4 linked regions of the Lytechinus pictus genome follow. The protein of the gene in region 3 purifies or fractionates together with the protein of the main gene of each other region. This does not show direct contact. Links are inferred from orthologs where the notes say so. Each region holds a gene or a part of one and is shown on either strand. Other genes may lie near its edges. The genes, in order: DNA helicase MCM8-like, kelch-like ECH-associated protein 1B, mini-chromosome maintenance complex-binding protein-like and DNA replication licensing factor mcm2-like.

Region 1 (8,083 bases), on a different chromosome or scaffold from region 3:
CCAAATACAAAGGAGCAATACACTTCTCATTTTCTGACATATTCAAGGTAACTTCGAAATTAATCATTACTTTCTCATAATCATTCAGTAATAACTTACTCCCATAATTCTGTCATAATTTTAAACCCTTCAATACTTGTACTTACGTTGTGTGTCTCTTATAAATCCAAAGGCAGATATTGATTGTTCATTGCATTCTTTCTGTTCCTTCCTTGGTTTTGAATCATCTTTATTCGTCTCTCCCTGCCCTCCACTGATCTTCATTCCACTAAACAGTGACATTGTCAATCTATACACCTACATGTAGATTAAGAAATACAATTATCGTTGAATGACCAAAACAAAGTTTCACAGTCCTGACCAAAGTCAGTATCTGATTTACCTTCTGCTATTTCAATAAAATGTGCATATCTGTGTGTGGCATTTTTTTCAAAATTAATGTTGATATTTTAGCGTTTTTAGAACAGCAACTGTTAAGAACCACAAATTAAATTTAATTCTTTTTTCAATAACAGTTAAAAGCTACAGAAATCCTTCATTGTGATTGGCTAATTGTAAATTTGTTAATAGAAATTGTACATTTGTTATAATAACAAGTCTTTATGAAACGGGATCCAGATGTAAAATAAGAAAGGTATGACAGTTTCTCATATTTTTCAAGGTTAAAGGCTTTATAAAAAGTAGAGAGTTGAATGTGTCACTCACTATTTCTTTTGACAAAGAGACCCTCCTGATTGAACCGAAGAATGCCAAAAAGAAAAAAAAAGGTAATTCCATGTGTTCAGGATGTAATAAAACTTTTGTTTCACATGACAATGAGAAAATTGATATTTCATACAATAAAATACAAATAAATAGTTAGTGGGTGATGTCATCAGTCCCATTTGCCAGTTTTTTAGCCGGTAGAGTAAATTATACAAAATAAGGCAGCCATTTGTCTTTGAACTAACAAATTTTGTAATTAGATATTGTTAGAAATAAAACTACAAAAGATTACTTTTTTCATCCCATTCCATGCTTAAGAAGGGGTATTTTGACCAGGAACCTGATCAAAATAAAATTTTGATGTAAAATTGATCCAATAAAACAGCATGTATATATGCAAACTGTGTAATCTTAGTGAAACTTCCAAGCAGTCCGAAAGAGGAGTGTCCAAGAAACTCTGGTATCTTTTCTTTTATTCAACTTCACGACTTCAAACTTTCACAGTATGAAAAAGAAGAATTGCTCTTTCAGATAAGCTATTTTTTCTAATTTTTGTTGTTGGAGATTAAATTACTATTATGGCTATTTACAGAGAACCTTACCTGGCAACTTATTGGTGGTTTTGGGGTGGTAGGTCACATATGGTAGTGGATTGTATCAGCGAACACTTTTCATGAATTCAATCATATCAACCACATTATTCTCATAAAATTCACCAAACTTTCACCATAAATACACAAATACCTACAAAATATAAATATGTAAAAAAAAATTGCAGTACTTAATCGTATTTCTTTTTCACGATTCAGCTTCCAATTGGACCCCTCTTCGCATGTAAAATATTTTGGTCACTTGAAAAAGGTATTGTATTACCGAGTGTGTGTTTTCTATGGGAAAAGTTGAGAAAACAAAAAAAAATGAGCTATTTTTACCATATTTTATAAAGACTTTGAAAATGTGTTTTTGACTATTTTTCATTATCTTTTTATTCAAGTTCCCTTTGGAAGGATGTTGCAGTCTTGAGCATATGAAATTATTTTCTAATGCACATGATGCGTGTGTTCTGTAATACAAGGCTGGTCGGTAATACAATCACTCACTATACACATTCATATACATGTAGATCGAATCTAGAAATGAATTGGAATATATTTATAGTGACATGCAGTTTGGGGGAATAACCAAATCTAACTTATAATGTCGACATGTGACAATTGCTGCTTGCATGGTCTTTAAACCCGGGCAGCACCCCCCTCTCAAGTTTAATGTTGGCTGTCAGGCCACTGCATCATTTATTTTAAAGTATTCTTTTATCGCTTCTTCCAGTGAATACAAGCATAATCTGGCTTCATAAATTTCATAACTTTATAAATGATACATCACAAGTGATCCATTCATTTTCCAATTCACAGAAAGAAATCAAGAAATACAATACTGAAAATAGAGAGAAAAAAGGGTGGCACTTCCATTGACGAGTGGTCAGAGTGGATTCCATGCATGACCTTGGGGTTTCAAAAAGCACCCTATACAAGTATTTTCCATGTTCTGAAAATTCACCCCTTAACAAGGATTGGCGTGTAAAACCCTAGGGCCTATACCCTTAACAAGTATTGGAAACAAATTTAACAGAACGGTACCCTTGACAAGTATTCCCTGAATGGAACCCCTAAACTAGTACAACAATATCTTAAAGGAGAAATATATTGATTATGAATATGGCCTTATTATATATCAGTGGAGAGGTAATGATGTGAGGATTACCATTAGGTCATTCAAAAATAACGAAAATAATACATAAGGTGGAAATCGCCAATTAAAAAGCGCTAAAATGCCTCTCCGAAATATGCCTCGCATCGGTCTCTGAATTGACTCGAATTTGATGACGTCACTGTCTGTACGAGAGGCGTGATTGGCTCTCCCACGTCAAGCTCCACTTGCATGCAAAACCTGTTGCGAGGGTACGTTTTCTCCACACTGACACTGAATACTTCGATCATGAAATGAAAGAAAACCCAGAAGTTTATCTAGATTTGGATTTTCAAATTGATGATTATGCAGATGAAGAGAATGATGATAAAGTTTCTAACTCTAGAAAAACAAAGTGACGTGGATGGTGGTAAATTAAGGGAATTACGGCGGTGATGATGAGTAGGACAATTCAACTTGCAAGCCGATTCGCTACCAACGCATGCAGCTGCTAGCTGCACCGCGGGTCAAATCCATGAAAATGAATTCCATGTAGCATGACCACATCCACACAGAGTCTCTTTCCTCTATCAACAACATAATGAGAAGGAAAATAATAAAATAACTGTACTTACAAATAAGTGAATATATATCCGAACCTAGGCTGAAGGTAAATCAACTCAAGGAATAGCAGCAGACGATATGCACCGACGATGAATTTCACGTGGCTGGAATAGATTGTCACTCGTTCTGTTAGATAAAATGTATATCTCATTATTTTGACTAAATTACGAAACTCGGAGAATTAGTATTTTACATAAAAATTAAGTAACACCTGGTACTATTTTTTGAATTACGATAAAATATTTTTGAAGCAAAGAAATTGAGGTAAATTAAAATAAGATATAAAGGATCATCCCCTTAGCCGCATGCGATTGTAAACAAACAATCAAAAGCACATGGCCAGCTTGCTCCACTGAACTGAAAATACGTATTTTCAGTTCAGTGGCTTGCTCGCCCATAGAGTTGGATAAAGCGTAGCTTTATCCAACTCTATGTGCTCGCCTTGCTGATTGTTTACAATCGAATGCGAGCTAGGCGGATGATCTTTTATATCTAATTTTAATTCACCTCATTTTCTTTGCTTCAAAAAGGTTTTATCGTAATTCAAAAAATATAGTACCAGGTGTTACTTAATTTTTATGTAGAATACTTATTCTCCGAGTTTCGTAATTTAGTCAAAATAATGAGATAGAAATTTTATCTAACAGAACGAGTGACAATCTCCCAGCCACGTGAAATTCATCGTCGGTGCATATCGTCTGCTGTTATTCCTTGAGTTGATTTACCTTCAGCCTAGCTAGGTTCGGATATATTCACTTGTTTGTAAGTACAGTTATATCATTATTTTCATTCTCATTATGTTGTTGATAAAAGAAAGAGACTCTGTCTGGATGTGGTCGTGATGGAATCCATTTTCATGGATTTGACCCGCGGAGCAGCTATCAGCTGCATGTGTTGGTAGCGAATCGGCATGCAAGTTGAATTATCCGACTCATAATCACTGGCGTAATTCCCCTAATGTATACCTCTATCCACGTCACTTTGCTTTTCTAGAGCTAGAAACTTCATCATCATTCTCTTCATCTTCATAATCATCAATTTGAAAATCCAAATCTAGATAAACTTCTGGGTTTTCTTTCATTTCGGGATCGAAGTATTCAGTGACAATGTAGAGAAAACGTACCCTCGCAACAGGTTTTGCATGCAAGTGGAGCTTCACGTTGGAGAGCCAATCACGCCTCTCGTACAGAAAGTGACGTCATAAAAAATCCCCAATTTCGCGGACGTAATTCTGCGTGTTTGAAGCATTCAGAGAGAGAACTTTAAACTATCAATTAACTGAGTTCCATCGGTCTCTATGATAAATGATTTACACCATCGTGTTCTCCTTATTTTCTCCCTTAATTTGATATATGATTCTCCATTTTTACGATTTTCAATATAGTTCTACTTTAACTGTTAGGTTAAGCCCCGGCCCGTTAAGGACGTCGGCTTATTTACCTTAGCTTTACTTTCCCTGGGTTTTGTACCACCCAACACACCTTGCTCAAATCGGACCCTTTGGCTTTAAAAAGTTTTTTATACACATATTGGGGCAAAAAGTACATCCTTATTCAAGTATTTAATCTTTTTATACCCTCGCAAATTGGACCGTAAACACATAGTTTTCCTGGCGAAATAGGCCTTTTTCATTATTTTCGTGTTTTTTACACCCTAAAATAAGTAAAAAAGATACATGTAGTACTAGTAACAACTAACAATAACATACACATGGTTTGTGAAGAATGAAATCAACGTCTGGTGAGTTGATGAAGATCCATTGGGCACTAGACTATCCAACTCCAACTCCGAGAGAAGAAGATTGAGGAGTCATTCAATCAGCAACAATTGTAGATCTACTGGTAACACTAACAGTTAGTATTTAGAAAGGCCATGGCATGGAGTCTATGGTCTGGAGGTATACAGATCCTACATGGAGATCGCGGGGTAATGTACGTTTCGGTTTTCATCAGCGAATTAGTCTTATTTCCAATTTTCCACTGCTCACCTTTGCACCATGGTCGGGACCCACTCACACAACATGCGAGGCAATGGTGATTTTATTTCCTTTTTTATTTACACGGCCTCACGTCCCATCTCATTTCTTGGCCCCCAGCATTGACTCAAAGTTCGACAAAATGTGCCTTTTGGTAGACTAATTTTCACAAGCCAAGCAAGAGCAGAGTTTCTGGCGCAGTTTTCGAATTCTGAAGTCGATTAGGCCTATATTATGTAAGTAGATGGTAACTGACCTATTTTACTAATTTACGGTACCGGTACCTGAAAATTGATTGAAGATATTCATGGTATCTGTGGTCTCTTAGAAATTGATATCCAGTTTTGCTCGGATTTCTGGCTGCTCCTTAAGTTAACCCAGCGGGCTGGAGCTCCATGGCCTGGCTGGGTTAGTGGCTCCTTGATCCTTAACCCAGGGGTCTCCGGCCCGCGCAGCGCGCCGGAGCCCAGGGGCTTACCGTGTATCTGACCGGGACTAGCGTGATTTATGGTCTAAATATTTCTCCAAATGAATTGTGAAAACAGAAATTATGCACTTACCATGATTATATGGATGAACATGAACAAGGTCTAACGAGTGGCAGTTTCCTGACATCGAACCTCGAGGCACAGACTGGAACTTAAAAAAAACGAAAAGATCTCTCCTACCCCCGTCTCGATCGGCCATTTTTGTTATGAATCAATTTTCACGGTAAGCCCCTGGGCTCCGGCCCGCTGTGCGGGCCGGAGCTCCCTGGGTTACTTGATCCTCAGCTCTAACGTATACCCAGTTGTTGTGTGTCCGGACAGGCATGACAGGTTGTGTGGTACGGACGATCAATTTTAGAAAGTCATTTGGAAAAATTTACAAGCGAAGTTTCATCAGTTTTTAGTATGGCAGTGTGTCCAAACTTCGCGCGTGTCCATACTTCGCGGACGGTCCTTATCTAAAAAACTAGCAAATATCCTTAAAATCTGACATCATCAACGTGAAAAGCGACCTAAAATTACCGTATAATGAAAGTTTCTTTATGATGAGTTCAGTATTCATGAAAATATTGGCAAAAGATCGGCAAATTTGTCACCGCTAGCGCCCGTTTTGAAGAAATCACAAGCATCACGATATCACCATTTTGCAAGCAGAAATCATCAAAAATGTGAGTTAAATGTGGTACTAACCGATTCCATAGCATTTTGCCATCAATCTGATTTAATTTTTCACTTTTTGAACTTGAGTTTTTGTTTAAATCTCCACAAAAGCTTTGGTGCGCGAAGTTAGGTCACACTTTTCTAAACGGTTTTCCAGCACAGCCCGCATTCGCCGATCAGAATAGAATTTTGAGATCGCGATACCGGCGAAACCCCTTGACCTACTTTACATTTTCGTCCATGATTTTATAGTTTACGATCTTGCCGTCAATGTGGTAACTATTTCTTGAATTGGTTTTGTATAAATTATGAATATTTTGCGAACAAAATTAAGCCTGATGAATATTTTTGAAAAGTGCGCGAAGTTTGGACACCCCATCATACAAAATATTAGGAAATATTATAGAGAACAAAATAGAAGATGATTACTTCCATTGAATTCATATTTTTAGTGTAATCCTAAGACAAAAAAGAAGGCTTCAAAAATATAAAGTGTCCGGACACCCGACCCCCCATCCTACAAAATGTTAGGAAATATTATAAAGAACAAAATAGAAGATGATTACAACTATTGAATTCATACATGTAGTGTAATCCAAAGACAAAAAAGAAAGCTTTAAAAATATAATGTGTCCGGACGGCAGACACCCGACACCCTATCCTACAAGTTAGAGTCTAACGTTGGCTCTGCGCTCTCTAGCAGCTAGCCTCCGCCCGCTAGTCCCAGCCGGCCGGGAGCTCGCACGCCTGCTCTGCTTAGCCGTATATGCCAAGGGAAGGCGGGCACAGTAAGTTGAGCATAGGGGGGGGGGGCAAGTTGAGCCACCACCCCCAGCCAGGCCAATAATGAATGAGTCAGACATTGTGGTGGTGTCATGTATTGATGACCCATTGCATAACCCCTAACAACAAAAAGTATTTTTTAGAGGGAAAAATACAAATTTAAGCCCAAAAAGTCAAAATAAAGGGTGTGAAAGAGATTTAAAGTGTTTTTTGCACACACATCTTTAAATATAAAGACATGCATAAGAACAACGTTGTTAGTCTAGGTATGGATCCTCATTCTTGTCAAAGTATTTTACATGATGGATGCATAAGAAATGTGTGGATGTGAAAATATCGCATTAACTTAGTTTGGATTGGGGTAAGTTGACCCAGCCAACATGGGGCAAGTTGAGCAATGGAATTCTTAGTTATGGTAATGTATAAAAAAAACTTTAAAAGCCATTGATTTGCAGGCAGAAAGGAGCAAATTTACATGACTGTTCTTTTCCTTTTAGAGGATGTTAGTATTTATAGAGAATTAGCAAGTGAATAGACTTTGAATAAAATGCTGGTTCTTCCCCCATACATTTTGTACGGTATAGTTTTTGTGGCTCAACTTACCCCACAGATGGGCAAGTTGAGCCATTTGACACCTCGATCTTTTTTTAAAGGTGACAATGATCGACTTTCAGTGTGGGGGTAGAAAGTTATATTTATAGGTGAAAAATATTTCAGAAGAATTACATTTTAAGGCAAGGTACTTATTTCTACAAGATTATTAATCATATCAATTCTAACATGCAAAAAGCAAAAAGTGTCACAATTTAACTTACCCCGCCTTCCTCTATCATTGCCTAACTACAACTTAGTGTGCATGTAGGGGCATTCCATAAAGGTCAGACGTACATTCGGACACATTTGAGAGCCGTATCTTCTTTGATTTAATAACAATGTTTTGTTTTTTCCCAGTACTTAGTAGCATGTGATGACAGGACCAGGCCCCAGCCAAGCACTCATTCAATGAACAAGGTTATGATATACCGTAAGTAACGGTGTATTAACCGCACCCCAAACTTTGGACTAAAAAAAAAAAAAAAAAAAAAAAAAAAATCCTTCTCACATTTACATGCATATTTGAGGTACGAAGAAACAAAAGCTAAGTTAAAGATTTCAAAGTATT
Region 2 (7,756 bases), on a different chromosome or scaffold from region 3:
TTGTCAAATGTTCGAATCCAACAATAAATGAAAATACTAGGAGAAAATGCATTTTGTGTATGGAGTGCCTGTACTGCACCTTTAACGGGTGCCGAGTCACTGCAACGAATTAAATCCGGAAATGTATAAAATCTAAATAATTCCACTCTCCCCGGATTCAATTCCTTTTTTCAAGTGTTTGTGAATCCATACAGAATTAGATTAAACTCAGGTTATATTAACATTAATTTGGCTAATTGTGCACAACAACCTATGAACACAAACTGTGTGGATCTAGAAAACCTTGAAGAATTTGGCATAATTTCATGAAATTTACTTAATACAAATCATCCAAATTAGTGGGTTGGAAATAAATGGATTACCGTAGCTAGGTTAATCAGATTCCTTCCCAACCACTTTCGGAGAGCGCATGGAAATCGAGCAAGTCGATCCACTACAAGCCCACCTGGACCACTCCATATCTCATCCAATTAAAGGACCTGGGTTTGATCCTCGACCCATCTGCTATGAATCATTGCAAGATATCTTGTGGAGTCATTCAGGTCACTGTGAGACAGAATCTCAAGACTGCTGACTCGGCATCTTTTACTGTGCGCTAGGTTCTGTAGGGCGACCCGAGTGGCTGTTCGTTGACACCGATCGCTCGCTCGGGTTGAAATCAGGACCCAGAAAGGGGAGTGAACGCTTCTTGATCTATCATTCCTGGGACTTCTATACTACATGTATACTACAATACATTTATAGACTCTTTTTTGTGGGCCCTACATGTAAATCATTTATACTCCTATTTTTCACTGCTTAAATAACAATATGCTAAAATGACAATAATCAATACATATTCTGGTCTCTTAAGATATGAAGTTTGAATATAATAATAAGTAAAATTCAATAATTGCAGTTCCATTTTAAATGTCTTCACAGTTGCCAATTTTAAGAAAATAACATACTTTATCAGAGATCACAATTCCCATTCTCTTTCTCAGTTCGATAGTAATTGTGTGGCCGGCATTTAGGATCAGAATAAGAATTTATATTTTTTTATCAGAATGTCGAATGATTTTTGTATTATTGCCTAGTAGTAAGCACAAAACAGTCTGCAGCTTAATAAATCTTAATCAATGTATAATTACTCATATTAATGATTTTAATCTTCACCTACATGCAGTTGTCATTACATGTATTTTGATTTAAGATACTTCCTCTCAAAACAATACAAATAGGCCTACTTCCTCTCAAGACTATCATGTATATGAGACAACCTGAATTTAAATAGCGACAGAGTGTTATAGGGTAATAATAAATAAGAAGCAGGCAATAAAATATGCTCCATGTGCCGGTACATGTAGGTTTTATAATTACAAGCACGGATGGTGGAACTGTCACATTTATCATTTACTTGGTTACGTAAGGATGATCACTGCCTGGCTCGGTGGTCTTAGGTTGAGTCAGCATATTTTCTCTACTCTCAACTCTCATTCTTGATTTTATGATAAATGCCAGTTGTGGTAACGATATCATAATGAGTTCGTACAGAATCCAATGAAATGACCACTAAAGTGTCTGTTTGTATTTATAAATAAAAAATATGTGCCAAAGGATTCTGGAAGAAATTGTGTAATTGCTGAGAAATTAGCAAATAAGCACGGGATTCGGGTCAAGCGTCGGGCCGACATCCAAAGCAAGAATAATACACTGTCCCACGTGCGCTTGTCTGTGTTGGTGATCTTCAGTGTGAACATTTTTCAGCGTAGATTTTAAGATTTCACAAAGTTCAGTTTATGTAACTGTACCATATCTAGATCCTCGATGATACAGTGACAATTAAGCCTGGTTTTACAGATTTTCTCGTGAAATCAGTGTTTACTACAACTACTTTCATTTATCTTTAAAATTCAAATTTAAGATTAGTCTATATGTCTAGTACCCCCTAAACGACATTTTCATTTTTATTTGAATTTTTTTTATTTCAACTTTAAACATTTTCGTTAAAAAAAGGGGATAATCAAACACATAATTTAGAAATTTAATGATATGATAAGAAAGCTACATAGATTTATGTACAACTTGAATTTTTGGGGTCCATTCCATGCAGGTAAAAAAAAATATGTAGACACTTTAACTGGATCGGGCACCCAAGTCAATCATATTTCGCATAAAATCTCACACTTTATCCTGTATTACAAATTTATTCATTCATCTAGTAAAGAACTGGAGTAGTGACATGCACTACACAAAAGTAAGATGTGCCTCTGCAGCTCTGAGATTTAAATGCATTTAAGTAAGTACTAGAAACCATGTACCAAAACAAGGAAATCAATGAGGGATATTCTATCAGTATCACCCAAATTTATATAAATATAAATGACTATTAAAAAAAAACAGAACAGGGAGGCCTTAATTCAGGCATGATATCCAACAGGGCCTATACATCATCAAAATATGCTGACACATTTGGTATAAAATTGGAAAAGTATGTTTTTGATTCAAATCAATTCAATACCATATGATATAGTAAAAAAAGGAAATAAACTTGTCTTTCAGTTTATACATGGCCTACAAATATGAAAACAAAACTGAAGAAATTACACTTATATACACCATGGTTTCTTCAATCATGCAAAACAAAATTAATCTTCATCATACAGGGTAGTTAAGACAAAATATGATACTGAGGATTTAGAATATGTTTTCTTCAAAAAATGAGTAAAACATACCACTCTTGAAATAAATTCCACACAGAGACAAGACAAGAATAAAGTATTCCAAAATATTTCTGCAGTTGATAGATCCGCAATATTCAGAGCAGTCCAGTGACTATTCCGTGATTATTCGTTACTTGAAACACGAAGCACACCTCAGAGAATCTTTCGATGTAAATCACATACATGTACTCGTAAAGGTAAACAAATCCTGAATATAATGATGCACATGTATTCCAGCAATGCTATTTGGCGATAAACCAGAGGTATACAATGAATTATAAACACACAAAGATATCCTGCAGGCCGAATTGAATTTAGTAGTTCTGAAATATGACAAAAGCCGGTTTTCGTCTAGCAAGTGTAAAGTAGGATACTGCCAAATTATTCCGAGTCATCTTGCTTATAAACACCTTCAACTTGCGGCGGCGGCTACGAGCCAACCATTTTACGGTTGGGACTCATTCAACTGCCTACGTATCTCCCTTCCAGAATGCATCGGCGGGTAGATACGTGCGCAGGCAGGAGTTGGGAGTCCACACAGCATGCACGACCATGGCATGACTGTGCGTTTATGACAGAGTGTGTGTTGTGTGTATGTGTGTGTGTGTACGAACGGTGCAATATGCTATCGCCTGCAGGTGAGGGTCACTGTAGCATGTTATCTGATCAGTCAGGGTTTTGAGTGTGGAGTATTAAAGAATATGTGACTCAGCATTATTCTACACACACAATCACTCCTAAGTACCTTGGCTATAGGACACCTACTATTGATCACGGAATTATGCTTTGATCCATCTCCCTGTCCAATGGAAATCTATTGAAGCATAAAATAACTGATACAAATGCTCTATCTAACAAATGAACCAAGTGAATGGGAATTAAGTCAATTATTCCCTCTCTTTATTTGAAAAAAAAAAGAACCTGGTGGATAAGATGCCTGGCTTCATCATAGTGTTGCAAAGACACATTTTCCATTGGATTCATAAAAAGTGGGTCTAAATAAACAAGTGTCAGTTAAATCCCTTCTCAAGACTAGACTCAGACAATGGGATATATCAAACACCAGTTTCCATAAATAGAATATTCAAACAGGAACTACTTGAATTGCATTATGTAACAAAGAGAAAGTGTACTAATACAAATCATTGAGAATTAATAGAAGAGTTACTTGTTTCACATGTTTACTTTTAATGATTGTACCAATAAAACCACGATTAATGTATAAGTCCTTCTGTAAACTAATAACTATATATATGAAACTGCTCAAAACTGGTGGAGAACTGCCACTTTCCTAGCTGTATAAAGAGCAATTTGACATCAGCATAGACTCCCCTTTAAATTATAAAGATGTGAAGATGAGAAAAGAAAGAAAAATTTGTGAAGATGTTTCCTTGAGACAAACCAAAGTTGGAAATTCAGAAAGCAGCACACACCCGCTGCCATGGGGTGTGTTTATACTTACCTTTACATGAATGTTTAGAAACGTAAAACTTGGATTTAAAAAAATCACAATTGATGGGAATCTGCTTAACACTGTGCAAGACAACGAGTTGGAAAAAAACCTAGCTGTTGTGCAATATCCATGAGTTGTATGCAGGTGCACATCGTCGCTTGAGTTTAAAATTTTGTAATACATATTTAAAAGAAATAAATGAAATACAGATAGCTAAAAAAGAACTTGATTCCAGAGTTATAAACATAAAGAACCCTTCCTTTGCCTAGAAAGGGTTCTCAACAGGAAATAAGAGACTGTTTCCTGATAATATGAGGTTGCTCCCACTGCCATATAATAATAATAATAATATAGGATTTGTATAGTGCACATATCCACCTTGCTAGTAGCCTCTTGTTGAGGCCCTGGCGGCTGCTACCCGAGCGAAGCGAGGGATTTCCTAATTCGCGAAGCGAATTAGGCCTGGCGCGAGCCAGGGCCTCTTGACATCTGAACCGAATTATATATTCATGAGGAACGTTTTCCTAATGAATATACATGAGTCATGATATTACCGGTCACCGAGTAAACCAATGAAATGTCAGAGCTGTTTCGACTTGGGTTTGGAATACTATAGTAGTCCGGGATAGTAGTCCACTATTCTGCAGGGGATTCATTTAATTGCGGGACACTAAAGGGGATATAACCAGCAAAATGCTACAAGTTGTGGTACTACTACTACTACTACTACTACTGGCCGTAACAGACCCATCACCGCCCCGAAACTTCCCAGGAGATACTGCTCAGCCGCTGGTCAGACTCGAGTCAACTCCCAGCAACTCCACCCCAGCTTCCTTCACTGCATGCACTGTACAGCGGAGATTGATAATCGACGCCCCGGATCGACCGGTGGAATCGCATGAAATATTAAATTTTTTCCATATCCTGTGGATAGATTTACAAAGACATCTCGTCCTTTCAGTGCAGAGTTAATTTCATCGACTTGCAAATCCTTAAATCGGTCAATATTCAGCATTTTAGAGGCATATTCAATGCTCTTTGATATTTCGTCGTCACTCTTCGCCAAGAATCAAAGGGTCGTTATTCAAGATGAGCTCATGAATATTTAATATGACGTCATAGCAGCCCGCGCTCTCATTGGATGATTTTCACCGACCAGTTTTTGGTCGGTGAATTGGTAAAAACAATAAAAAACAAAAGAAAGTCGGTGAAATTCGGCACAGATGTCAAGAGGCCCTGTCTCGCGGCGCTCTGCTTCGCTCTCTCCCTTGCTTTGCCATGTTCGCTCGGAAAGCAGCCGACAGGGCCTCGACAAGAGGCTACCTTGCTAGGTGCTCAAGGCACTCCTATATTACCCCAGCTAAGCTATAATATACTATACATATCATAAAATACAACTCTTTCTAGTAGCGTACGCAGGATTTTTGAAAGGGGGGGGGGGTTCAAGCTGAATGAAAAGTTGACAACAACAACAAAAAAAAGGTCTTCACAAATTTTGACAAGCCAAAAAAAAAGTCTTCAACATTTTTTTTTTGGGGGGTTGAACACCTGCAACCACCCCCAGCGTACGCTACTGACTCTTTCTGGCCTGCCCTAAAAAATTGTTAAATTTTGAATTACAAGGTTTTAACACCCAAGCAAAGATACATGTATCAAGAAATGTAATGTTGTGTAAAAAATGCATTGATAAGTGATGCAGAGTTATGCCTGGAGGCTGACTTGTTGAAACGATATCAAAGCCAAATTAACCCTTTTTGTGAGTTAATAGCAATGGCATTCAATGCAAGAATAGGAAGAAACAGCATTTTGAAATTCAAACCACGTTTTGCTGAATTTTACTGTTTGCACAAACATGATAAGGGATTAAACCATATCACAATATATTTCAAAAGCACAGGTCTATATACCCCAAGAAAAAAATGAGGATAATGCGATTCTTCGAAACGCTCTGTTGAGTGGGAGTCTATACACACCTATTTTGATTACACCTACTAAATGAAGTCAATCGTGACCCACTGAAAAGAATCGTTTCACGAAATTACATCAGAAACTTGTCTAAAACTATTTTCATGTTTCATACAGAGAATCAAACATTGGAATGCATTTCAGCAGATACATGTACCAGGCGGATTTGAGAGGATGCCGGAAGACTGCTTGAATTTTGCCGAGACTCTTTAAACAAAGCATATGCCGGGGGGGGGGGGGGCAGTCAAATGTATTGCTGAACACACGCATGACCAAATTATTTCCAAACACCCACTAAACAAGTTTTTTCTGTGTGTGCAAGATAACCCCTTAACAAGTTTTTTGTGGGCTTTATTTACACAATTTGGCCCCAAACAAGTTGTCGCCAGAATATGACCTCGGGGTAAAAGCTTTGGGAAAAAACATACCCTAAACAGGTTTGGCTAGTCTTTAAAAAAACATACCCTAAATACGTTTGACCCCGCGATTGACCATTGACCAGTTTTTCAAAACCACCCTTTTTCTTGAAAATCAGTGTTTTTGATACCCTTAACAATTGCACGCGCAGCCCGCGTCCACAGCTGAAAAAAAAAACACCCCTTAAAATGCGTTTTTTTGGCCACGCATGTGAACAGCAATATATTTGACTGCCCCCCCCCCCCCCCCCGGACATATACCACCTAGAGGTTGAGCGTGTTGATACATAAGAGTCTCTCGAATCAGCCAATATGAGCTTGAATTTGGATTCTCTGTATAAAAACACAATTTCATAGTTACGTACATACGTACAGTACATGTACACGACTGTAGCTCTGTATGTTCATCAAACAATGACAATGCATGAAAACTTGACACTCTAGCCAACCTATTTTTACAGGCGAACGATAAGCCAAGGCAGACAGTATATTTGACTAAAAGATTTTCTGGTACCCAGCTTTGAACTGTGAGCTTTATTCAAACGATGATCTGATGAAATGCAATTAACACTCTACAAAGTGTTGAGAAAACAAGCTTTATTCATCCCCAAAGTATAGATATCCTCCTTAGAGCAAATTAGCATAGAGAGCAGTTACCAAAACAGTTATAAATACAATGGGTGTATCTTTTTGAGAAAAAGCTAGTTAGTACTTGAGCTTAGAGCAAAGAAATGAACTTAGAGCTACATGTAGCTAACAATAGCTAACAATCAAGGTACAGGGGCAAGGTCATGAAGCTAATGGAACTATAGATATCATTATCATCATCATCATCATCACCATCATCATCGTCAACATCATCAACATCATCATCATCATCATCATCATCATCATCATCATCATCATCATCATCATCATCATCATCATCATCATCATCATCATCATCATCACCACCACCACCACCACCACCACCACCACCACCACCACCACCACCACCACCACTACCACCACCACCACCACCACCACTACCACCACCACCACTATCATCATCATCATAATCATCATCATCTATCATATCACAATCCATATCTTGAAAGTCCAAGGTACCAACATTCATTCCCACAAAGCAGGCCCTGATATCAAATTGATGAATTGCAATATTACTGTACTGCCTACTTATTCTGAACATGATATGGCATATATTTCAGTTTTGAAAAAAA
Region 3 (8,344 bases):
TTTACATACATGAAATGATTAAGCCCCAAGTCGCATTGAAGACAAGATTGCAATGACTTCACTACTATATGGGGCGACAGCCTGGAACGACAATTCATGGCACTATTCATAATTTTGATTAAGATTTTACAAGTTGGAACGTTCATATCAAATGCTACTACAATTGCTTTCCCAATTGGACTGCAATTTGATCATGAAGCAAGCATTCGAATGCATACCTCTAAGCATGGCCTCTTCCAGTTTGATTGAATCAATGATGCTGAACGGCACCCAGACGTTTCTTTTCTCCATCTCCTTACAGTAGAACCAATGGGGTTGGATGGTCTGGTATGCACCCCCGGACCTAGGGGATCCTCCAAGGGTGGATTGGGTCTGCTGCTGGATCTCTGCTGACGTGGGAGGTGGTTTGCTTGCATCATACTGGGAAGGAATATGTAAGAGGAGGCATGGTAGCTCAGTCAGTAGATTGGTGGTCTCATAATCCTTGTGCCATTTGGTTAGGCATTTATCTTCATTACCAGCTCCCTTGGAAAGGGCACTAAATATTCTGTTGGACCTCTGTTTACTTCTTAACAAGCATCCATGCTTTCTTAGCAGTCAGGCTAGAGCCAGGATAATAGCAGCGCTTTGTATCCTCAGGTAAAAAGCGCTTTATAAATTCAGTTAGATTCTTATCATCATTATTATTTCTAACCATCATTTAGTCAGTTGGTTGCTGTAACATTTTCTTGTACATAAAATTAAGAAAAGCCTTTTTAGAAAATAATTTATCAAAGGCCAAGTTCATCAACAAGTTGATTTGAATAAATAGTGAAATAAAACGAGCAAACAAAACACTGAATCATAATTACTAATAATACAAAACACCATGACACACTTTCAAAAGTAAAAATTTCATGTAAACAAATTCTTGAAATAACCCGTACCTGCTGTAATTTTGGAGGTGGCGCCAAAATGCCTGGGGGTAAGGGCCCGCTTGCTGGAGTCACACCATCTATTGGGTATGCCATGGGCTTGTGTTGGTACCCTTTAATACCAAACCTTGCCCCAGCTTGTCCAGAGGGAGGGGTGGCACTTGGTGGAAGAACACCAGTTGGAGGAGGAGCACTAGGGGAATAGCTGGTGACTTGAGGTGGTGGGCCTGCGTGTTTGAAAAAGTGTATTAAAAAAAATATTTCATTGATAAAATGAAATTCTACATGAAAATTGAATCCAGTAAAACTTAAAAATTGTTGTTCAATAATTTCTACAATGTTTGTGCATACAAAAGGAGATTTAAAAAAAAAACTTTTGAATAGCTAAAGGTAAATTGTTTTTAACAATACTTACATAGTTAGTGTTGGAAGTTGTGGTATGAGCAAATTAAATGAGTTCAATGGTATCCCTTTTAAAATACAAGTTTATTACAAGTTTAGAAAATCATCTTTAGAAAGTCCTATTTAATACTGATCTCATTCAATAATTTGAGAAAGGTCAAGAAATGAAACATAAATTCACTAGGAAATCTGCCCACAATGGCTATTGCTTATGAAGACAATTATTCTTATCTTTGTACATTTAGCATCACATAAGGTTCTACTCTATTCAACACATGGCACAGAGAATTTTCATGCAAGAGGACGCAAATAATCAAATTTTTGGCATTATCACAAAGTAAGTCACCCGTCAATTCGCTGCCATTTATTTTGTCAGTGCTGGTGATGTCCTTGTCCTTCCCCTCCCCTTGTGACATCACTCCCATTGTCTTTGTACACAAATTGAGCTAATACAAGGGAAGAGAGGTGACAGATTTCGAAAGGAGGCCACATTTCCTTTAAGCATATAAATACAGTTCTAAGCTCATTGAATAGATGGGGAAAAATGAGGGCATACCTGGAGGGGGCTCATCTTGAAAGTGTACTCCACGAGGCTGAGGGGGTATATTCTGAGCTGATGTGAACGGCACTGCCTGGGGTGGGGCCTGCACTGAAGGCGGTGGCCCAAACTGGTTTGTCGGTGCATATGTTGGCACAGCTGCAGGACCCGTCAGTGGGGCAGGTTGGGGCAAGGGCGAGGCAAAGGATGTCTGACCCTGTGAGGATATTCCTGCGAATGGGTCTGATGGGGCAGGGCCCGAGGTCTGCTGCTGTTGCTGGAAGTAGGAGAATGTTGAGGGTGTGGCTTGTTGGTTTGAGAGTGGGGGTGGAGCCCCTACTTGGAGATCTGGAGGATCATTCTGCCCCAAGAAGCTATCCGCTTCACCGTCTTCATCTGACAATACAAAGAAAGATACTTCATAAATCTTTTAGTTTTTCACAGCTGGTTGTACATAGTGTTACTCATATTCAAGGGACGTGTCATTGTTTCTGCAATTTGTTGCTCTACCTTGAACCCTTTCGACTTTATCTCAGTCCAATTTATACCGCAAATGCCACAGAATGTTACTATATTCAAGATGAGGTTGTACAAGTATGGTGAACAAAATGGAAAGCATTTCCCTTGATATTCTCTGAATTTCTGAAATGTTATCTTAATCATTCCAACAATTTGATTTGCTTTCTGCACTACATTTGACACATGCTGGTGTAAATTTAATTCCCAACAATAATTACTCCAAGGCCTTTTTCACTTTTGTTGGGCTTCAACTCCTCTCCATTCATGATGCAATTATTATGAAGATTTTTCTTTCCCATATGAACCACCTTACATTGTTAAACATTGAACTTAAGGCATAAGCTGCCATCTTTCAGACCTTTAAGTTGCATTGTACAGGTCGGTTCGGATAGCTTCAATAAATTTACTAAGCACATGTCAATAATTAAGATGTTGGGTCAATCATAGAGGGGCTATAGCCTGGTACATCAATTGGTTTATGAATCCAAAGTCACAAAATTGTATTTTCTTCTTGGTTAATGATCTTTAGAATGTTTGCAACAAATTAATGAAAGCTTTGTTCAAATATTAAAATTGTGTAGCTTTAGGTCCCCCGATCACAGTACGACAATACACCAGACGGTGGCCTGTACTTATAGAGAAGAAGAAGAAGAAGATCATACTATTATGACACTTTTTCAGCATACATGTAGCGCACACTACTAGTTAGAGTAAAACCCCCAAACATCGGACGGTTCCAAATATCGGATGAAAATTACTTTAACTCCCTCCCCACAACTACAGGGACCCGCACTGGTGGGGGACTTGCATGCATGAGATACATGAACATATCTGCTATTGAACTGCACACACAGTAGATCCAGGTTGCTGCTCAAAAAAAATATTCCAGGGGTTAAATCCAGGGGTAAAATCCGTGATTTTGACTTCGAAAGATTCTTATGACCCTTGCAAATAGTACCTAGCAGCTCATCAACCTTGTGACAAACACACTGAGAGAATACCGACTAGGAGATCATTTGGGTGTGGAAACGACCCACAACGAACAACAACAACAACAATTGCTAATTATGGACACCAAAAGATCAATGACCAAAAAAATATCGTAAGGAAGTGATTTCCGCCAGAAATATTGCTGCCGAGATCGCATATATTTGATCTATCGTAAGAAAAATAAAGAAAATAGTTATTACTTAACGATTTCTATATCAAAATTATTGATAGTAATAATTTTCTCAACAATCAAGCAATTATTTTGATGTATAGAGCGCGATTTAAATTGCCGAAATTGATCGCGGCGCACAACTTGGAAACTGCGTCCGATATTTGGCAAAAAAACAAGCTTCTGGTAGTAAGCGAATAATTTCCGTTTACCATATTTTTTTCATTTCTTTTTTTTTATGACATTAATATTCAACATTTGTATGGTGGTGTGACCTTAATTCGCGCGTTACCTAATTTTTCGCACAGTCGAATATTTCAATATCTAATTAATATATTGAAAAACTGATATCGCCAACAGAAAAAGCGATCCAAAATTACAATACAAAGTATGGTAATTTCCTTGAAGGTAAGGTCTCAATTTGTGAAAATATTGGCAAAACATTGGCAAATTTTGTTACCTTTTGCGTCTGCTCCGAAAAAATCTAAACTTCTCGACAAGCATCAAGAAATCGCCAGTTTGCAAGCAGAGGTATCCAAATAAGTAAGTCAAATGTTATGGCATTTTAACCTCCATCAGATATAACTATCTTACCTTTTTCTGTTTGATTTTATTTTCTAAAGCTGTGCAAAACGATTGTGCGCAAATTAAGGTTACACTTTTTTATGACGCTTTTTCAGCCGTGCCCGCACTAGTCGATCGTCATGGAATTTTGAGATCGCGATACCGGCGAAACCCTTGGCCTACTTTCAATTCCTTCAAGCTCATGCTAATTTGACTTTGGAATCTTGCCTTCCGTTTGTTTGGTGTATTATGATTTTGATTACTTTTGTGTAAACTGTGAGAAATTTTGGATTGAAAAAATCAATTTTTAAAATGTGCGCAAATAATGGTCACCCCATCATACTTATGAAAATACAAATGATTTTTATTTGATTCAATCAATGACAATGATTGATTTTTTGTTTTGGTCAAATTTAAGTGTCCGATATTTTGGGCACATACTTCTAGATTCTACTTCTACGATACTCAGCAGGAGACTTGCTTTTCAAAAAGATAAAAGAAACAACCCAAACACCTATTCCCTACCAAAATTTTGTCTTCTATCTTCTTCTTCGATCTTCTGTGTTGAATTCCTCCGTTCCCTGGAGAACTGCAAGCCTTTAGTTGCAGTGCAGCATGGTAAAATAATGAGCTATGTCACTGTTTGCAGCAGCTTGATCAACAAGGCGCTGTCTTGTTGTCTTGTTGTCTTGAATCGAAACAGCAGATCGATTGTTTCTATGTCTATGATCATAGATTCTGACTAACATTAACAATGTGACAAAAATATAAACAAGTGGGACTAAATAAAAAAGTGGGGACAACATAATGTATGAAATATCCACCAAATAAAACATCTTGGAATACTAACCTGTAGGAAATAACGATGCTGTTGCAGGCACGGGTCGAAAAATTCCAGGTGTTATACTATCATTAGTCGAACATAACAATAAAGGAGGTGGGCTGTTCCCTTTTTGGTCTGCCATATTCACCGGTTCGGTTCTGTTCGATGTGTACACGTCATATATCCGCATATGAATGAGGTCAAAGGTCAATTTAAATGTCCGGACTTTCCCGCGCCACAATGCAAATTTCGCGCGATGAATGAATCATGTGTGCAAAGCATTGTGTTGCAGTGGGGCATTTAAATTTGCTGTGTTGATACGATATACGGCCGGCTCAACGTGAAGAAAGAGAATTTCTTGCACTTGGAAGATCTGACTTTTCTGTGAGATCTAGGAACAAAATTCTCGTTGTTTTCTTTTTGAAGATCTGAGTCGATTTTACTTTTTTTGATATCATCATTTTCCACTGAATTGAAGTGCCGAAGTGAAGTTAAGTGAAGTCAAGTCAGAGTCAGACTTCTCAATCATGCCAGGAATAGATGACTGGGTGAATTCACCTCTTGACATTGTACAGAGTTTATTTGGTGAGTAACGAATTCATGGTTTGGATGAGGAAGGGGATGGAAAAGAAGAAGGAGATAATAGAATGAAGAGGAAAAGGAAGAGGGGAAGGGGGAAGAAGGAGGAAGGAAGAAGGAGAATGAAATATATGAATGAGAACAAGATTCAAGAAGAGGAAGAAGAAAAAAGAAATATGGAGCAGAGAAGGAGTTGGATGATTTTCCTGGTATTGCGTTGAAATTTGCTCTACATTTTTTAAAGACTGCTAGATCTAGACTCTACACCAAAATTCTTTTGTGTAGCAGATTATTTCCACATAGGCCTAAGCAGTTTATCTAAAGAACTTGGTTGCGAGCTTTTCTCTTGTGACCAAAAATGCTATTTTGATCTTGACTTTGATTTATAGCAAAATTATTTCCTGGGGAAGAAAGATGGGAAGAGAAGAAGTAGAAAGAGGAATTAGGAATATTAAGAGAGGGTTGTCTAGGCCCCTAACAATAAGAGGAAGAAGAAGGATGTGATGGAGAAAAAGAAGATTAAATGAGGAGGATTGAGAGCTAAAGAAGACAACAAAGAATAATTGGAATGAATAGTCTTCTTTTGGTCTTCTTCATGAGTCTGTGTAGTGCATCATGTGCATGTATTTTATTGGCACATTATTAGTATTATAAAATCAAGAAATACTGTAGCTTGACAAGACAACTTAACTTAGATAGTCTGGTTTAACTTTATTTTTAAGTTAAGTTATTGAAGAGACTTGAAAAAGTCTACTATTTCTTTATTGTTTGTTTTTCAATTCATGTGCAGATGCTGAAAATAAAGAATGGAGTAACAATGTCGACGGGTACTTCAAAAATCGTCTGAGTGATTTCACAGCATGGCAGAGGGTAATTTTTTTTCTGTTGATACACAATTATCCTTAGGAAGAGAGGACTTACACTTCTAATGGCGTTGACTTCTACCTTTTAACTTCTTTAGCCTATTGTTCCTTTTTTACACCTTTCTATTTAAGACAAGGACCATTTAAATCTGCTTTATTACTGAAGAGTAAACCTTACTGTATACATCTTGTGGCCTTTTATTTTATTTTCAGCCATCATTCCCGAGATCCAAGTTATTCCCTGTTAATTGTAATTGTTGTTTTGTTCAAGAGAAAAAAATGTACCTGATTATACCTCGTCAATGTGTTTTATATCAGTTTACATGCCGAATCAGTCAGTAAGCTCTCATCTGATTTCATAGATTTCTTTGGACATGTACATGCTTCTATTTCACTCATCTTTGAAGATTTGGTGCTACATCCAAGACAAAATTCTCATTGTTTGTTTGTAATATCCATCTCTGTTCTTCAATTCGAACCACAGAATCCCCGTAATAATTACCATCGATTGATGGGACATGTAGAATATACTTTGTTGAAAAGTTCTGTGCTCTGAATATACCCTTCCTGTATTATTTTGGGTTTTATTTCAGATTCCATCTCTTAACCACACACCGCTCCACACATTAAAGCCCAACTCACTGGTCCGGTACCGATGTATGGTGCAGGATATGTTTGATCCAGAGTACTACCTTGGGGTCTACGAGGTCCAAGATAAAGCCAGCAATACCACAGTAAGTGAATAGAGGTTGACCCAGTCTACCAAGAGCAAACTGGGATGGGGGTGGGTTGGGGGTGCAAAATATGGAGGGGTTTGAGAGTCAATAGACCAGTTTACAAAGTCACTGTCCTAAATCACTAGATAATATAGAGGTTGACCCAGTCTACCAAGAGCAAACTGGGATAGGGGTGGGTTGGGGGTGCAAAATATTTACAGGGGTTTGAGATTCAATAGACCAGTTTGTACTTACAAAGTCACTGTCCTAAATCACTGGATAATATCCCACATATATTTAAGACCCTAGAGGAGTCTTTGTGCATTTCGATCAGACACAAGTAACATGGGTTTCCCATGAATAGCTTTTAATTCCACTTTGATGAATTAATACCTCGGTTTAGATATCAAAGAATGAAAGCTCTTTTTTATTCACCCACTTTATATGATCAAGGATGCTTGATGTTTGGAATACCCATTTGCCTTATTTTAGTGTTGCTATGTCGGGAGGTCATCTAAGGTTTTTTTTTTTCATTTTAGTTCACATGGCCTTTACCTGCTTTTACTCAGATTATATCTACACACTGGCTTCAGGCCAGTTATATACCTCAGTCACATTTGCTCTGGCGGCTGTACGGCGAGTCGAAAACAGCCATTTTCACATTTTTGTAATAGCTACATACAGGTGGTTTGAATAAAAATGAACCTGCCGTACCGCCGCCGTAGAACAAATGTGACTGAGGTATTATAAATGTAAACGTCGGCACAATACTAGTGCCAGGAGGCCAACACCTTCCTTAAAAATCACCCAATGGCCTTACCATTTGAGGATTTGTGTGGAATATACAGTGTTTATTTTTCTTCAAATTTTTTCCTCCCTCAGTTTAATAAGTGACTGGATGGTATTGGTATTGAATGCCTCATGTAGATTGACAATAATATTGGTTTTATGATGTCTTATGTCTATCTGTTTTATTTTCTAATTCTATATATTAAAAAAATCATTGTTGAAATGGATTACTTGTATACAGGGTACCCTTGAAAACAAAGCTAGTTAAGCTAAGTTCGTCGGGCTAAACTATTTTTTTTTTAATGAAACAGATGAATAAATGAACAGATGCAGTTAGGTAAAATTGGTGTCATTTTTATTTTCTCTTTTCTGAAGTTCCTAAGAACTGGGAAGTATCAGGATATAGCAGAGAATAGTCGCGATCTAGAAGTCAACCTTGAATCAAGAAGGAATGTCACTTGTGATCGTCAGACATTAT
Region 4 (8,340 bases), on a different chromosome or scaffold from region 3:
CCGTGGGCGAGACAAAAAACGGGGGCCTTGGAGCGGGCTTATTGTAAAAAGGAGGGTCGGAACAGGCTTCGGAACGAAATGTTTGTGAAAACATGAACGGGTCGCCTGCGTATGCATCCCTATGGAACGGTCTGTTCTAATTCAACATGTCCTATCTCTAAGCCTCCCTGCTTCAGTTAGCCAAGCCTTCACCTCTGCTCATCCCCTCATCCTTGCCACTAATATCTTATTACCCTCCTCGCACCTATCTGTCACTCTTGCTGCCAATGTTATGACCCACTGCCTCAGATACATTCTTAAAATTCATCATATTCGCTTAGTCTTAGAGAAATTACTTCAACACAACAACCAACCTGTGGATAGCCGCTGATCCTCAGATACCTGGGGAAGAACAACAAAGAAGAAGGAACGTGCATGCAGCTAGCCCGGCAACACGGGCGCCGGGTACGCTAGCGCAGAGGCGACGGTCGGACAGCCCTCTGTGGCCACTTTTCACCAAAACTGCGGCTCATTGTATTACATCAAGCGCGGCCGGAACGGCACAACAGAAAATATGCGAAGCTTTGGTCTTTTTGGAGCAGATTTCTTCCTTTTTTCTCGATAAGAAAATGCTATGCTTTGGAGCAGCTTTCTTTGTTCTTTTTCTCAATAAGACAAAAATGCTATGCCTTGGAATGGAAATTTGAGTGTAAAAATGGGGGTCCCCTCCGCGGCACATACCCACTATGCATTATATATTGAGTGCCCCCCCCCCCCTGGCCCGGGCATGTTTGTAAGTAATATAGGTCCATCAAGATCTAACTGTTAACGAGTTCAGTTAGATCGACTCTAGATAATTAAATTATTGGACTTGCCTACATAGACCTAGATCTAGACTATTACCGGCATAATTGTACTTGATGCCCCCAGGGGACATCAACTTTTTTACCTTGATTCGTGGATCCTCGACCCGACCCTGTTTATCATCGGCGAGTTGATATCCATCCGCGCGTGGTTCGGTTGATCGCGCAACAAATAAAGTAATTGGGGGCATCAAGTACAAGTAATATAAGAGAGACGAGCTTTAGCTCTCAAGGTTACATTAGCTATCAAGGTTAATTTTGCCAACAAGGTTAATTTTGGCTACAAGGTTAATTTTGTTGAAATTTTTGGGGGCATCAAGTACAAGTAATATAAGAGAGACGAGCTATAGCTCTCAAAGTTACATTAGCTATCAAGGTTAATTTTGCCAACAAGGTTAATTTTGGCTACAAGGTTAATTTTGTTGAAATTTTTGGGGGCATCAAGTCAAGTAATATAAGAGAGACGAGCTATAGCTCTCAAGGTTACATTAGCTATCAAGGTTAATTTTGCCAACAAGGTTAATTTTGGCTACAAGGTTAATTTTGTTGAAATTTTTGGGGGCATCAAGTACAAGTAATATAAGAGAGACGAGCTTTAGCTCTCAAGGTTACATTAGCTATCAAGGTTAATTTTGCCAACAAGGTTAATTTTGGCTACAAGGTTAATTTTGTTGAAATTTTTGGGGGCATCAAGTGCAAGTAATATAAGAGAGACGTACGTGCTATAGCTCTCAAGGTTACATTAGCTCTCAAGGTTAATTTTGCCAACAAGGTTAATTTTGGCTACAAGGTTAATTTTGTTGAAATTTTTGAGGGCATCAAGTGCAAGTAATATAAGAGAGACGAGCTATAGCTCTCAAGGTTACATTAGCTATCAAGGTTAATTTTGCCAACAAGGTTAATTTTGGCTACAAGGTTAATTTTGTTGAAATTTTTGGGGGCATCAAGTACAAGTAATATAAGAGAGACCAGCTTTAGCTCTCAAGGTTACATTAGCTATCAAGGTTAATTTTGGCTACAAGGTTAATTTTGTTGAAATTTTTGGGGGCATCAAGTGCAAGTAATATAAGAGAGACGAGCTATAGCTCTCAAGGTTACATTAGCTCTCAAGGTTAATTTTGCCAACAAGGTTAATTTTGGCTACAAGGTTAATTTTGTTGAAATTTTTGGGGGCATCAAGTACAAGTAATAATAGAGAGATTATTCTCTAGCTATCAAGGTTAATTTAGCCAATAAGGTTAATTCGTTTCGACGATGTTATGAAGGCTTGCGCGGCTAGAAAATAGAAAAAGAGGGGAAATGGGGTTAGTGGAATGTAAACTTCTGAATAAACATGCTGAATAACTGGAAAATTTGGGGGCATCAAGTACAAGTAATAATAGAGAGTTTATTCTCTAGCTATCAAGGTTAATTTTGTCAACACTTCTAGTTCTAGGATTACTCGCCGGATCACTGCTTTCATCAATTTTGGGGGCATCAAGTGCAAGTAATAAGAGGATAGATGAGGAGGCAAGGATGCGCGCTCATCTAGATGCACCTGTTTGCGCATTTGTACTCGCATCTCATATGGGGTGCGCTAGCGCAAACCAGAACTACTTTCTATTTTTTTTTATAGTGAGAAAAGAAATGTTTACATTTTGGTAACGAAGAATCATCGGGAAATCAAGGAGTACCAAAAGGTAAAAACGTTGATGTCCCCTGGGGGCATCAAGTACAATTATGCCCTGATACCGAGACTCTAAGTCTAACGGTCGCGACGTTAAAACGCAAACGCCACGATCAGGAGATGTAAAATTTCCACCATTTTTAAATACCCATATAACAATTACACACGTGCAAACCATACCGGTACCGGTAGGCGGCGGTACTTAAAATGTTAAATCTAGTAACACCCGCATCACAACATCAACTCGCAACTCGTCTCGGTCTGACTATCGGTCTTCACATCAGGTTTCTCATTTATTAAACCATCCTCAGATTCAATATTCTTTAGAAAAATACAATAATACTTACAGCCATCTTTTCTCAGATATAACAAAATTTGTTGCAGTGCAATCGGTCTGTGGAGATTCACTCGGAGTTTGTTTTCTTTCTGCACCAATGTTCACATGTGTAGAAATTCGCGGCCAGCTGTTTCCCGCAATAGGACACTCGTGATCAAAATCCCCGCGAAACTGTTGAGCAAAACGAAGAAAGTAGTCTGCGTAAACAGACTCTGAACACAGTAAACCAGGTTCAAATTAATTTTCCACTTTACATTTTTCACATTTACCATTGGCGGACCCATGGGAAAGCTGCAGTAGTTCCATATTGGCGGTGCAAAAAAAAAAAAAAAAAGTGAAGGAAGGGGGGATATATTAAAGAGAAAGACGAAAAGTGAATGAATTGAGGCTAGCCTAGGGGAATAACAGACCAAATTAATGCTGTGTCTCCATCGTTTTGTCGGTTTTTCTGCTGGACTAAGTAGAATTTGTTATTTGTAATTATTTCTCTATTTTTTAAACAATAGATTTAACTTGTCTTTTAATTCACTTGATTTATTTTGCTATAGCTTGCTTCGAGGTCTATGCTTCGATTAAGTATAAAATCTAACTCCGGGATCTAACTCCAAATAGGCGAAGATAGTTATTAGGGCCCCGGTTAGGGCCTATACTTATAAAATCATGTTCAATACACTTATATTTTTCAATTAACGCCTTATTCAAACAATACCTAAATATTAGGTAAGAGCAAGTAAATGTTAATATCTATTTGTGTTTGAAATTGTTTTGAATTTGGGTGTGCAAAATATTTTATTCTTTAGTTGAATCAACGAAAGAGCATCATTGAACATAGTCATGACACGTCTGATTTCTTTTTAGGTTTTCGGAAAATGTTAATATTATCAATTTTATTTGTTAGGATGAACCGGTCGCGTATAAATGTAAATGTTCGAGTACTTCCGGTACCTATCATTTAGGCCCTACAGGCATAGTGACAATGCATTAAAGTCTAATATTTGGATAAAAATGTCTAAAGTGAAAATGATGCCAAAATTACTTAAAGTGGGACGATGGGGGAACGGACTTTCGAATAACGAAAGTCCACTCCGGCACTCCCCCCTCAGTTTTTTTGAGTGATTGTTTTACTCAATTGAATTAAGTTGTTATAACTTAATTTACTTGAGTAAAATTGATGCAAAGTAATAATTAAATTTTACTAAAAATTGCCAAACTTATATATATTTGAAAAAATCAAGGCATTTTTTTGCCTCAATTTATATAGGAGCAAAGATCTGCAGTGAATCTTTTGTACTGGTGGGAGGATTGTCTGCATGGCGGATTTCCTGTGAAAGTCTGCTATCTCATTTATTCTACATAATATTCACTTGAAGGAGGAGGAGGAGGAGAAACAAAAGAAGTAAAAAATTTTAATAAATAAATAAATAAATAAATGAATAAATAAATAAATAGGCCTAATCATAATTTTATGTAATATTGGAAAATATAGGCCTATAAACTTTCAGGTCATTATAATTATTTTTAAAAATGGCTCGCGCTTCGCACTCCTGTGAGCATATAGATGTCGATCACCGGGGAGGGGGGGGGGATAACCCCCTCTTTTTCAGATGGGGTGGCCTATAAAATGTTATCACCCCTGATAGGCCTATAACGAGGGAGTACAAGCTGATCGGATGATAGCCCGGGGATAATGGTAATCATGACTTGTGTAATATTATAATTGATTGTCGTACGTAGGCCAATACATGATGACAATTTTTTTCTCTGGATTAGTCTTACTAATGAAACCAATCCTTCTAGATATTGGTAGAAACAGAAGGGTGGAGAAAGAAATCAAATCCAAGATGAAATAGAATTAAAAGAAATAATAATGTCGTGACAGCACTCTTCTGAATGTCACAAAAAGAGTAATTTTTGTTCTTTAAAAGATCCATGCAGGTTTCTGATGTGAATAGAAATATTCAGGAAAACTAACAAGTGTAATGATATATGGCCCATTTTCATGTCGATTTTTCAATAATGCATGTGTATTCTTCAATACCGGTCTTTAGCACCCCACCCCCTTCAGATATTGGACTTGGAGGGTGCATGATGGACCCCCAACAACAACAAAATGTGAAAAAATAGAAAAGGAAAAGAAAAAGGGTGAAATATGATATGTTCTTTAATATGATGTCAAAATCTATTTAAAAAACTTGATTCTTGTAAAAAAAAAAGGATAAAACATTTAGATCCATATCTCCTCAACAATTTTCTTATACAAGTGCTTAAAATGTTCCCTTTGGTTATATCATCATCATCATCATCATCATCATATCAGCCATGTTCAGCCCACTGCAAGGCGAAGGCCTCCTCAAGTTGGTGCCAAAGGCGCTTGTCTTGTCATGCTTGTGCTGATGCAATCCAATTTATGCCAATGAATTTTGTGAGCTCGTCACTCCATCTCAATTTTTGTCTACCCCGATTTCGTGATCCTAGCCATGGTCTCCATTCTGTAATGCGTTTGGTCCACCTATTATCATGTGATCTTGCAAGGTGGCCAGCCCATCTGATTCTCCATTTCGTTGATTTAATTGCTTTGATTATGTCTATTACTCTAGTCTGGCTCCTAATCCATTGTATGGTTTTCCTGTCACGTTTTGATATCCGTATCATTATACGTTCCATACTGTGTTGAGTGGTTTTTAATTTCTGTTCCATTTTCTTTGTTACAGACCATGCAGGTTTCAGAACCATAGGTCATTGCCGGTATAACGCATTGATTAAATACTTTTCTCTTAAGGCAAATTGGCATATTGCTCTTCATAATGTCATTGAAATTCCCAAAAGCGATCCATCCAGCTCTTGTCCTCCAATTGTTCATGATCCATTCTGACGTGTTGCCCAAGGTAGATATACAGCGCGTCCCCAAAAAAATGTCCCTCTGACAAAGGGCTGAATTAATTCTAAAATGTGGAAGTATTCTCAAATAAATGTTTATGAGCAGAAAGCTCATTTCATGATCTAACTTCTGGGAAAATTTCATTGGTCGCGCTTCAGCGGTTTTGAATACATACTCTGTTACGTAACAGTGGTGCATTTTAGCCCATTCCAAGTTTGCAGCATTGATGCATTTCTGCATTGTCTATGGCATATATTAACCCCCATTTGTACATCCAAGATGATACGGGGAATCAGTGCACCAACTTGGAAAGAAAATGTGAATGAGGGATGAGTAAAATAAGCTGAAAAATAAAGGTGAATCCACAAGTTAATCACCCTTTGCAAAAAGAAACTTTACCAGAGAAAAAATTGACCTCTTTTTTCTTTTAAAAAGTTTCATTGACCACAGTAGCTTATTAACTAAAAAAATAATGAAAACAAAAATGCAGTATTAGGCATGAAGTAGGCATGAATTAGGCATGAAACAGACATGACCAGTTAGTGTCTTTAATCATTGTGCATCTCCTATTATCAAACATGAAATGAACTGTCAAATATTGCTTTTGCCCTTTTGAACATGCTCAAGGTTGTGATTTGATGAGCTTGGTTAGATCATGGAGACTTCCCTGATCAGATCAGGGAATACCTTGGTCAGAATGTTCAAAGGGGGTTGATATGCTAGAAAGTGCAGAACACACAGCAGTGCTGCATGCATGCAAACTTGGAATGGGCTGAAAAGCACCACTGTTACATAATAGACTGTGTATTCAAAACCACTGAAGCGAGACCAATAAGATTTTTAAAGAAGTTAGAACATGATATGAGCTTCCTAGTCTTATACATTTCATTGAGAATATTTTTTTATTTTTTGAAGTAATTTAGCCGCATATCAGAGGGACATTTTTGGGGGGACGCGCTGTAATGATCTACTTTCTCGACTTCAGAATTATCCATTATGATTCTTTCCTCCTTAGCAAATTTGTTGAACATTATTTTTGTCTTTTTCATGTTGATCTTCAGACCTACTTTGTTACTTTCAGTGTTGAGATCGTTGAGCATATTTTCTAGCTTGTGGCCATCATCAGTAATTAGAATGATACCATTGGCAAATCTCAGGTGGTGGAGACACTCCACTCACCTTCAATGTTCAATATATATATCAAGTTCAAGTTCAAGTTTATTTATTCAAAACCAAAAACATCACATCATAATCAAAATAGATATTACATACAACGTAAATGAGTGCATGAACATACATCAATTATATTATAGCATAGACGAATTCGTTTTAGGACCCCTTTAAAAGCAAAGCTTGTGAGAATACTTATGATTATTCACATAAAACATAGTATATACTGATCTACAAGATACAAAAGGAGAGGGAAAAAATAGATATATAATAAGGTTAAGATGCTAAAAATAGAATGGAAAACTATTACAAACACACATATATACACACACACACCCACACACAACCGCATTCACCCACATAATTATGCACACTTACTAAACATAAATTCTGAGTAGGTCATCAACTTAAATGCAAATACATCCTTTCTTACACAAAATATGGGCATATGATCTGAAATATCTGAGTAAATTACACCAGAGCAAAATTCATTTTGAATGCAATTAGTGAAAATAGCATCCATCAGGGTTGCACTGTCTTCTGTAACACTCGATAGGTTTTGTGATAAGAGAGAACATTCCAAAGGAGTACATAAAATCAACAAAACTTTTAACACATTGATCATTATCATAATTCAATAAATTTATGTTAAAATCACCCATCAAATAGATCTCCTTGTTCTCTCTACTCACAAACTGTAGCTGATGTTCAAAATCCTCAATAAAAGACATACTATCATAGTTTGGTGCCCTATATACACAACCAATAATAACCTTTCAGAGTGAATTGTTGTTTCAACAAAGACTACTTCATACCATGTCTTAGAACCAGACAGATCTTCACGTAATTCAAAATCTATGTCATCTTTTACATATACAAGCATGTCCCACCCCCGATTTTCCTGCCCTACATTTATGAACGCAAGAATAGCCAGGTATCTGAAACAGTCGGATATCAGTAGCATCTTTCAAACCAAGTTTCTGTATAACACCTATTACTGAGAAATCATGTTTTAAGCATGACAGTAAATGTAACAGATCATCAAAATTTTTACATAAACTTCTGGCATTCAAATGCATAAGATTAAAATTTCCCTCTTTATTCTGATCAAATACCTCACAATTAATATAATCACAACTTCTGGCATTCAAATGCATAAGATTAAAATTTCCCTCTTTATTCTGATCAAATACCTCACAATTAATATAATCACAACTTCTTAATATTATGTTTACATCTTCTTCAACAATGGTATCCACTAGTAATTATTAAAGAAAATCGATGACACATTAAATATTTTGTACATATATGAATCTGTTATGATACTACTCAGAGTTGATCTACCATACAAACACACATGGCTTATAAACATATTAAACAGACACCAAAACACAAAAAGGCACTCACACAAACAGTTCATACTTGTAGGTCTATGCCCACACACACA

What was found.
Region 1: the proteins of mini-chromosome maintenance complex-binding protein-like (region 3) and DNA helicase MCM8-like purify together in Homo sapiens (co-immunoprecipitation; 3 studies listed by BioGRID and IntAct, with this or other methods). This does not show direct contact. The link is inferred for Lytechinus pictus from reciprocal best matches to the Homo sapiens genes MCMBP and MCM8.
Region 2: the proteins of mini-chromosome maintenance complex-binding protein-like (region 3) and kelch-like ECH-associated protein 1B purify together in Homo sapiens (affinity purification with mass spectrometry; 3 studies listed by BioGRID and IntAct, with this or other methods). This does not show direct contact. The link is inferred for Lytechinus pictus from reciprocal best matches to the Homo sapiens genes MCMBP and KEAP1.
Region 4: the proteins of mini-chromosome maintenance complex-binding protein-like (region 3) and DNA replication licensing factor mcm2-like purify together in Homo sapiens (co-immunoprecipitation; 6 studies listed by BioGRID and IntAct, with this or other methods). This does not show direct contact. The link is inferred for Lytechinus pictus from reciprocal best matches to the Homo sapiens genes MCMBP and MCM2.

What each region holds. Positions count from the first base shown.
Region 1 is NC_087251.1:4,116,009-4,124,091, reverse strand, and holds the start of DNA helicase MCM8-like, read left to right. Parts: upstream 1-4,916; 5' UTR 4,917-5,226; intron 5,227-7,872; 5' UTR 7,873-7,945; intron 7,946-8,083. Other genes in the region: disrupted in schizophrenia 1 protein-like, read right to left, coding at 147-282. UniProt on the Homo sapiens protein: Component of the MCM8-MCM9 complex, a complex involved in the repair of double-stranded DNA breaks (DBSs) and DNA interstrand cross-links (ICLs) by homologous recombination (HR).
Region 2 is NC_087255.1:5,859,685-5,867,440, reverse strand, and holds the start of kelch-like ECH-associated protein 1B, read right to left. Parts: upstream 3,309-7,756; 5' UTR 2,715-3,308; intron 1-2,714. UniProt on the Homo sapiens protein: Substrate-specific adapter of a BCR (BTB-CUL3-RBX1) E3 ubiquitin ligase complex that regulates the response to oxidative stress by targeting NFE2L2/NRF2 for ubiquitination.
Region 3 is NC_087256.1:19,440,893-19,449,236, forward strand, and holds the start of mini-chromosome maintenance complex-binding protein-like, read left to right. Parts: upstream 1-5,186; 5' UTR 5,187-5,446; coding exon 5,447-5,504; intron 5,505-6,288; coding exon 6,289-6,368; intron 6,369-6,954; coding exon 6,955-7,095; intron 7,096-8,241; coding exon 8,242-8,344. Other genes in the region: phospholipase DDHD2-like, read right to left, coding at 219-420, 927-1,141, 1,873-2,250, 4,947-5,061. UniProt on the Homo sapiens protein: Associated component of the MCM complex that acts as a regulator of DNA replication.
Region 4 is NC_087247.1:54,893,869-54,902,208, reverse strand, and holds the start of DNA replication licensing factor mcm2-like, read right to left. Parts: upstream 3,300-8,340; 5' UTR 2,862-3,299; coding exon 2,856-2,861; intron 1-2,855. UniProt on the Homo sapiens protein: Acts as a component of the MCM2-7 complex (MCM complex) which is the replicative helicase essential for 'once per cell cycle' DNA replication initiation and elongation in eukaryotic cells.